2 linked regions of the Drosophila melanogaster genome follow. The protein of the gene in region 1 purifies or fractionates together with the protein of each later gene. This does not show direct contact. Each region holds a gene or a part of one and is shown on either strand. Other genes may lie near its edges.

Region 1 (5,017 bases):
CGTTTTTACGGCCCAGGTGAGTGCTAGGCTATAAATATTTGAATTTAAGTTGTTCCTAAGCTTACAGTATAGCATATACCTTTAGAACTATTTTCGATTGATCTATTGCCGATTATAAGGAAGGGATTTTGGTATTTTGGTATGTGTTTCATTGCCAAGATCCCATTATTTATATCCCTCTATACGATGTCTATCTATAATTGCAATGCTACGTCACAATATTGGTTTTCCTGATATCTGTAACTCTCTTAATCGCATTTAATTTCTGTGGGAGGAGATATTGCACGACATATGCTCATATCTCTGCTATATTTCGTCATTTTTTTTTGCGCTAAGATTAACAGCTTATCAACAAGAAAGTTTTCGTTTTGAGATAACGCAACTATCTAACCAAATTCAATAATCAAATAATGCCTACCAAATGTCGACTAGGTGTTTTTATTGTTAAGCATGAAATGCAAAAATAGTTCACCATGATCGTCATTTTCATATGAAATAGTTGTCGTCCGCCTTATCAAATCGAAATACTTCCTAATGTAAATGCCTTAATTGAAATGTTCAAAGACACCAAACAGAAACCAGTGGCATTTCAACAACGGCTTGCACTTTTTCCTTAAGTATTTTAACTAAAAGTAACGAGTGCGAGCAAGATGCACGACACTTGTGACGTAGATGCGCAGAAAAGCCTTAAGTTGCGCACTTGATTGTATACTATCTTCTATCAACGGTGCCGTGTTCCTGATGACCAGACTGCTGACTCCAACAAACTAAAACTATATAAATATTTAGATAGTAACATATGATGATTCTCTGCTTTTCAGGTGGACCCTACGCAACTTTTGCGGGTAGAGATGCCTCGCGAAACTTGGCCACTTTCAGCGTGGTTTCAATTGACAAGGATGAATACGATGACCTGAGCGATTTAAGTGCCGTGGAAATGGACTCTGTGCGGGAATGGGAAATGCAGTTTAAGGGTAATTAAATCATATATATATATATGTATATGCTCAGATTCATAGGTAAACTAACGTTCTCATTATGTTATTTAGAAAAATATGAGCTGGTTGGTAAGCTATTGCGCAAGGGCGAGGAACCAACCAACTATGACGATGATGAGGACGAGGAGAATGTTAACAATGATGAACAAGAGCGAAAGAACCTACCCAAGTCGAAAACTGAGACTGATGACACCAAACAAGAAAAGGAAAGTCACATTTTGCAAAGCAATGTAACAAACAAAAATAACGCACAAGATCAGGCCACTCCTTCTACCGACTGTTAGCGAATCGGGTTTTTTGTTTTGCTTTTGGATGTGGCTGTAATAGTTTACTTTCGGTTAGAAACACAACAAAACTAAATAGCATTTCCGACTCTTTTTGATGCTGCCTCTGCTCCTTTAAAATCGAGAACAAGACCTATTTGGAAAACATTTAAAGAACACGCCCCAATTTGAACCGTACAAATCAAGGCATTAAATTTATCGTGAACATTTCAAAAGAATTTAAAACAGATAAAATCGTTTTTGAATGTTATTCTTAGAGTGCAGCCTTGACAAAAGCTATAGTTGTTACTATAATTCACGTTGTGATGTGATCTTGTTCCATATATTATAGTCGTATATTCATACAAATGTAACAAACGGAAATCATAAAATTATTTAAGGAGGAGGCCAATGTGTGGAGGGTATGGGAGTCATTTTCGTGGCAATATAAATTTAAATGTAACTATATTTGAAATACAAATTAAATACTTAAACGTTCAATATCTTTATTTGGGAGGTGGGGGAATCCTGAACTGCAAGAAAAGCAAAAAACAGGTTTTTTTCCTAATAATGGATTTTGATTTATTCCATTTGTTCCCAGTATTTTTTGAAACCAACTTTTCGCATCTTGTTATCGGTGTGAAACGCCCGAAATCGCGGCCACCAGTGGAGACTGGCCGCTACTTCGATAGTTATCATAATGTTATCCCCTTGAAAATGATTTTCTGCAGCTATCGAAAATTTGGTCCGTCTCTGAGAGACTATGTTGGTTCTTTGTGGTTAACAAAATTTTCGGAAAATAATATTGGATTTTATGTAAAATATACATAATAGCCGTGATGACAGTTAGTTTGGTAGCGATGCTTATAACGCGTTGATGCACAATCGATCGTTTTGGCCGTTCGTTGTGCGTTCGGTGTGTGTGGAAAATGTAAAAATGTACGAACAATCGCATACAGTTCACAAAAATTCGTCGTCGTCGTCGTCGTATTTGTATTTGTCGTTGTCGTATTTTGTATGTACGTATGTCGCAATTAGAAAAGTGTAAGTGTGAGCGAGATGACACTATTGTTTCTGTTTCTGCGCTGCTTCTGCAAATCTTTAAGAGAAAAGCCAACTAAAGTTCTGCGAAAGAGTAAAAATAAAAAAGAAGCTGCTTCAAAATGTTCTCTTTAATTAAAAAAAAAATTATTTTATCGTAATTTTATTTGCAAAGGCAACGGTGTGAAACTCTGGTTGAATGGTTTGTGCACTCGCTAGCGGCAGACTTATAGACGGCACGAACACGGAGGCATAGAGAAAAAAGGCCGAAAGAAAGAAGGAAAGCAAGAAAAAAAGCAACAGCAAAAGCAAAACCGAACTGGTGTATATAAATATACATACGTATACTCGTACGAATTTATATGTACGCATGCATGTACGTACATATATGTGCATACATATATTTCAAGAAGAAGAAGGCGAAGAAGCAGCAGAGGAGGAATACGAAGAAGAAGAAGAGTATATGACGAATGATAAAGTGCTAGACAAAATAAATATGGACTATTTTCGGTGAATTCTCATATCGGCTTTATGTTATTTATTTTTTTTATTATATTTTACATCTGTTCTGATTTGTGTGCAATCCCACTGACCCGAAAAAACAATAAGTGTTTGTTGTAAAAAAGAAGTGTGCAGAATTAAATATTATGTGTGTGTGTACAGAAAAAAGCGCAATAGGGAAGTTGACTACAAGAAAAAGAGCAAACGAAATGAAAACAACTTGTACAATTATTATTTTTAACCAAATTAGTGACTCTAATCAAATATGTTAACCGGTCGGAATGTGAAAAACCCCACAGTGGCCACCAAATAACAATATCACGTAAAAACAGTCGGCGCAGCATCGATTTTTTCAAAATACACGCGATTGAATCGGCCGTAGTAGCACCTTAAATCCAATATTTGTAAAGCTTTCTCGCCTTATCGCTGGCATAGAAAACCCCTCCTTCCAAAGAAAAAAAAAAAAAAAGTAAAGAAATATAGATAAAAATAATAGTCGAATGCATTGGAAAAGGTTTGGTCCAGATAGCAATATACATAATAATGCTCATCGATAATTTGTATTCCCAAGGAAAAGGAACTGAAGTGTAATCCACTGGAAGCTTTACGTAGCAAAAGAAATGGACACATCAAATGCCAGCGCTAAATCAAAGACGTCTGCGTCGGGCAGCAGTAGTATTAATGGAATAGGATCCCAAATCAAGCATATATCATCGTCGCAGGACATCGGATCCTCCGTTCCCGCTGTCCCAGTCCAGGATGAGAAGAGCGAGTCGCACTCCCACTCACATTCACACTCCAGCTCCAGCTCACAGTCGTCCCAGTCGCAATCGCAGTCACAGCCACAGTCCACAGTGCTCACGGTAGTGGGCCAGAGTATATCAAAGAGTTCGACCGGCGCCCTGGCGGTACTGCATCTTCCTCCGCCGACGGCGACCGCCTTAGTTCAAGCAAGTGCCAATATAGCCGATCTGGGCTCCATGCCTCGTGCTCGGCCATCGTTTGTATCGAACACCTCCTCGACGGCGGCGACGACGACGACGGCGACGTCGGCATCGGATGGCGGCAAAACCATGGCCGTGGCAGCGATTCCCCCGGCATCACCTGTCTCCATATCGGAGCCCACCTGTCCATCTGTTTCGACGGTATCGATGGCTCCCAGTGCCTGTGACTTTGACTCCGACACGGAACTCTCGATTGTGGCAGCTGCAGCGGCCGTCTCCGCCTCAGCCGGCATAGATTCGCGATCCCCGACGTCTCCTCCGACGGCGGCGGGATCCACAATAATGCCACAGCTGAATTCCAGTGCGGGAGGCACTGCTAGCATAGCCGGTAATCAGTCCGGCTTCGGAGCGGGATCAGGAGCGGTGGCTGCTGGGAATACCAATGGCCACAGCACCACCTCCAGTAGCAGTACTCATCTGAGTCTGAATGCCAAGCAACAGCGCCAGCAGAAACGCCGGAGGGAACGTGCCCAGCGTTTGCAAGCGGAACGCGACAGTCGATGCAATGCCAACTCGCTGAGTGGCACCTTCATAGCCGGATCCTCTGTGGGGGTCGGCAGTGCCATGAGTGCGGCCAACGGTGGCCAGGGAGGTGGAGTTGGCCTCGTCACGCCTAATAGTAGCGTCGGTGGCGGATCCTCGGCTGTTGCAATGGGCAACGGATCGGCGGCAGGACCCGGCAACAATGGGATGATCTATCACATCAACAGCGCTGGCAGCATGGGCGAGGATAGCAACAATTCAAATGGAAATTTCACCAGCAGCAGCAATGGCAGCAACAATCTGCTGCCGCCCACAGATAGTATTGCATCGTTACTCCTAAATCCACCACATTCCCCCGAGTGCAACTCGGGATTGATGGCCACGCCTAGCGATAGCGAGGGTGAGTCGCTGGACGAGGATCTGCTCTCGACCTCGTCCTCGTCCACACTGCTCTTGCCGCGCGACAAGCCACCGCCTCGACCACCACCTCCGGTTCGAAGAAAGCTGCCACGATCTCCGGTGCTCGAGGAGGAAATCATCGATGGATTCGCTATACTGGAGTTTAAGACATACGAGGATCTTGAGGTAGGTTTCGTTGCCATTTCATTTCATACGTGCACGCAGCCTACTGTAATAATCTTTCTTCACAACAGTTTGCCATCAAATTGGGACAGAAGCGGAAGGAGAAGCGTCTATCCGCACTGGACGAGCTAACTTGTACCTACAG
Region 2 (4,908 bases), on another chromosome or scaffold:
GACACTTGGAAGGCGCAATTGAGCAGCCTTTTGAAACAGCTATCCAGGTGCTTACTTCTAATTTCTTCATACTTGAGTGATACACTGACAGTAATTATGTACAACTTTCGATGAATACAAAAATTAATGGTAATATGTGTGTTTACACTTTTGTGTTTACTGAAGCGTAAATAAATAAATGCTTAAATGATTTCATATTATAACAAATATTTCTTAGTATTATATATAAATATATATATATATTTTTTGTGTGTGTTTTTATTATTAAAGAAATCCTTTTGAAGTACGCATGTTTTCTTTGTATTGAGACTGCTGAAAGAAAATGTAATTTATTAAAGAGCCGCTCAATTTTTCCCTGTGCACTCCCTTGCAACATTCCGGCTGGCCTCCCACGCGCCAGGGCCGAAAGCAGAGTAAAGTCCTGGGGAATAACGCCCTTGGAATCTCAGGAGCCGCGTGCCAAGACGAAAGTGAGCAGCGAGAAATGCGTGGGCTGAGCATGGATTTCGTATGGCCGTTTCTTTCCCTCGCCGACTGTCTCCCTCTCTGTCTGCTTGGCTTTCTTTATTGCTCCAACGGTTTTCGCTGCTGCGTGGGACTTTCATTCATGAAAATTGTGCTCGAAAGTCGTTCGTTCGTACATCTGTATATAGTAGCACGTTGTGATGGGCCTTACCTAACGGTATATGGTGTGTATGGGTGTGCGTTTTATGTAAAGCTAGTGCAACGCAGGCGCAGCAGGAAGTTTGTTGTTTGTGGAGAAATTTTTGCACGCGCCGCATATCCTTGAAATTGTCCTTCCATGCGATTTCTGTATGGGTACACACGTATATCCTTGTGTGAGTCTCTTCTTTTTGGGTGTAAATATCAGGGTCATGGTTATAAAATTAAACATTTCATCGAGTCTCCAATATAACTGGCTCTTGGAGGAGCATTTGCGCAGGAGCTTTCGTTAGAGAGTAGACAGCGACTCCATTGATGATTCCGATTCTTCTGGGCTCCGTAATTTCTTATCTGTCTAAATTAGTGGTCCATTAACTTTTGCACTCTAGTGAAGTGAAATGTTAACCGCGCTCTCGCAAAAAGAGAGTAACAATAAAGTAGGTTCCATCGCGAAGGGTAAGGTGGGTGGTGGTGGGAGTAGTGGGAGAGTGAGAGAGAGCTAGTTTGGATGGCGAATTCAATGAATCAACACGAACACACGCATTTTACTTGCCACACGCATACCACAGCACAAAAATATCAATGAACTTTACACAAAACTTTGGGAGCGTATGCAGCGTGGAGAAATAGTCAAAGTGCCAAAAGAGTGCGGGAGAGAAAGGCAGGTGGGAAATTTGAAATACGAACCCAGTTATGAAATAATTATTTAACATACGGGAAAATATGATTATTTAATATATTTAAAAAATTTTATGTAATTTATAGAATTAAAACAAAGTCTTTACTTTATCTAAATTTTATTCAGGAACTCTCTTTGTATTTACTTTTTTCCCCATTTTTTCTCCTTTTTTAACCGAGCAAATTTCCAAGTGGGTCTGTGCCTGTGCACTGGCTCTTGCTCACCTTTTGGAGAGTTGCTCTTCTCTCCGGTTCGCGTACCTGTGTGCGCGGGTGCGTTCTTCCTTTCATTGCGTGTAACGGACTGTTTGTTTCGAAATAGTAATTCCCAAATGTATTTTTTTAAACGAGAAGGCAAAAAGATTCAATATTTTATAAGTTATTTCTTAATACTGCGCCTAACAAATACAATATTGTTATTGGGTTTCGCTCTTCGAATTCCGACGGAGAGAATTGGAGAGTCGGAGAGCAAGTGCAACTGTGTTCGTATTTTTGGAGAGCAACGAGGCTATTTAAGCAACCCACGACGCGCTTATTTTGTTATTGCCCGATTATCTTTTACCCGCGCTGCTTGTGTGTGCTCGCTTTCCATTCGAAAAAAACATCAACTCAAAATATGGATATTTGATAGAAGTAATTACCTATTTGTTTGGGAAATATTCAACGGTTTTTGGATGTTTTAGTTACTCGATGACAGGTTCACCGCACGTTTTTTCATTCGATTCCGAACTGTTGTTGTTGTTTTAGCGAAGCACACCTAAAAAATACAAAACCACTCACACACACGCGAAACATACACACGGTTGTGATTTGGCGCGCTCTTGTGTGCGTGTGTACATACAACAAAAAGCAAAAAGCAACGAATTTCGGTGTGCAAAGAAACATAAATCGGCAAGCGAGGAAATCGGAAAGCCAAGAAACAAAAAAAACAAAACAGTGCAAGTTACAGATTTCCCCAAACGAGATAAAAACAAAAATTCCTTTTTGATTTCCAAGATTTTCATCTGCGCGGGAGTGTGTGTGTGTGTAACAGCAACAAATACCATTGCACGGCCAAGAAAGAAGAAGAGAACCAGCGCGAAGCAGAAGAAGAAAGATGATGTAAACTTTGTTGTAACCAAAAGAAAAAAGAATAACATAAAAAACGAGTGAAGCAGAGAACAGAGCTAAACGGGAAAAATAGTGGCAGTGCTTCGAATTCTTCCAGTCTTTGAGTGATTTTTTGGGAGCTCTTCAAAATGCCAGAAACGGAGCACGAGACCTGCAGCAAGGAGTGGCTGCAGTCCCAGTTGCGATCCCTGGACTCCAAGGACCTGATCCTGTTGGACTGCCGCGGCTCGCACGAGTACAGTGAGTCGCACATCCGCGGAGCCGTCAACCTATGCATACCCAGCATCGTCCTCCGTCGTCTGGCGGTTGGCAAAATCGATCTGGCCTCCACGATCAAGTCGCCCGAGCTGAAGCAACGCATCCAGTCGGGCTACAAGCTATGCTGGTTCATCCTCTACAACGGCGAAGGCGTGCCCGGCCAGAATCAGGAGATCGCCGGAGCCGGATCCCTGGCCGTCGCCATGGACTCCATCATCAGCATCCTGCACCGTCGCCTCAAGCAGGACGGCTGCCGCGTAGTTGCTTTACAAGGTGAGTCATAAGTTCAATACTTTGGGTGCCCCAAAAAATAGAACTACAATATCATAATACAAGTGCGGGAGTTACTAAAACCAACTAAGGTTTATATATACCTCTCAATTCCCACATTTAAACTCACGTAATTAATCTTATAAATATGAATACTATCCATGTTGATTTCATAGAATATGTACATATTTGAAATATTAAAGCTTCAGTAATAGAAATGACTAAGTAAATCATTATAAACATAGTAGAAAACCGAAAAATTTCATCCAAAATTTCCCCCCTTAATCTCGTTTGATTAGAATGTAATAACTAAAGTAGTAATATTAAGATTTACATTGTGATATTCTTGGAATGCAATGAATCAATATTACGAATGGAATTTTTTGTTAGTTTACTACGCACCTGTATCGAGAACGGAACTCTCCATTTGTTGATCATAGCTGTGCTATCGGATTCTTTAAATGCCTGATACTTCCCAACACCGCCCATAAATCAATGCCGCACATTCCTATCCTAGGCCTAAGAATATCATAACTTATTTATACTTCCCCAATGTTGTTTGCGGCATTTTTAGCCCGAAACCCCCAAGGAAGAAACCAAAACAAAACAAAACAGCCGAAAGAATATTAATAATACAAGCAAGCACTGCCTGGCCATAAATAAACATTTGCATGGATTTGTTATTGTTTTTTTTTTTTTTCGTTTTGGCGAAACAAGGCAAGCATTCTGGGGGCGGAGACAAAATGACAAATGCAAAAAAAAAAACTAGCAAAATATAATGTAATCCGCACAGCTGATAAAGCTAGCGCCAGATTAGAATTATATTTAGTCTGACTGATCCTGTCCTCCTCCTCTCGCATTCTGATTATAGACATACACTGCATAGATTTCACCTTTCTGAACTTGTTTTTGGTTGACACGATTTTGTTTGACTTTGATAGAAAATTATAATGGCAGGAATTTGTTAGTTTATATATGCTGTGTCTTTTGTTTCCTTATCACAATTGCATGTAAGCTATATTAAAACTTGCGCAAAATATCAATCCAACCATATCGGCGGATATATATGTATATGTAGTTATACCACCCCGCATGCCCTTCCAATTATGCACTTTATTCTGAAACACTATGCCCCTCCTTGATTGGCCCATATCAATTAAGGAGCGATTTAAATATAAATGTGTTTTCAAAATCGTTTGGTATTTTACAAACACGTTCGGAGATTAAGGAAGTCATAAATAAACATCACTGCTGTCGATGCTTTTGAGGTCTTTCCACTATTGTTGGCTACACATTTTCTTTGTGCTCCCGTATAGATTTGTGTCATTCAGAAAAATGTCACAATTGCTTTTCAGCGACTCCGAGGCTCGACTCCCATGACTCAAAGCCACATAAATTGTCATATATACTATATATGCTATACATATGCTTATTTATGTATGTGCTGCCCTATATGCCTGTGCACATAGTCGAAATATATACATAATTATCTGACGACTGACTATGGCTTCGTTTTTATTTTTATCACTTCAATTTCCGCTCGCTTACAAGTCCCACAGAACCCCGTGATTGTTTGGATGTATGTACATATGTATGTACATATACACACTTTTTTGCCGAACAAGCTTTACGCACGTTCTCCTCTGCCATTCAAATGTTTTCTGTTTCTTTTTTTTTTTTGTGTCTGCCTGCTAATATCGCAAATTGACAATAGAGCGTCAACAAATGGACCGGCTTTTCAGCCTCCCAACTCTCTCACCCCACCACCCATCTCTAAGATACTTTTCTTTTTGTACCGATTTCATTTCGAAAGATAAATAGAACTTGAAAGGCCGTGGAATTAGCATAACATAAGGTGCCATCTCAACTATGACGTCAAGCCGTGGAAAGAGATGGCACTCTATGGTGGGAAAGAGATCGCTGCAACGA

What was found.
Region 2: the proteins of tay (region 1) and Mkp3 purify together in Drosophila melanogaster (affinity purification with western blotting; one study listed by BioGRID). This does not show direct contact.

The regions. Positions count from the first base shown.
Region 1 is NC_004354.4:15,884,301-15,889,317, reverse strand, and holds the start of tay (tay bridge), read left to right. Parts: upstream 1-2,006; 5' UTR 2,007-2,280; exon of another isoform or gene 2,281-2,305; intron 2,306-3,374; 5' UTR 3,375-3,423; coding exon 3,424-4,875; intron 4,876-4,943; coding exon 4,944-5,017. Other genes in the region: MSBP (membrane steroid binding protein), read left to right, coding at 1-16, 822-974, 1,050-1,282.
Region 2 is NT_037436.4:19,083,395-19,088,302, reverse strand, and holds the start of Mkp3 (Mitogen-activated protein kinase phosphatase 3), read left to right. Parts: upstream 1-1,876; 5' UTR 1,877-2,579; coding exon 2,580-2,982; intron 2,983-4,908. UniProt on the Drosophila melanogaster protein: Negatively regulates the activity of members of the MAP kinase family in response to changes in the cellular environment. Has a specificity for the ERK family.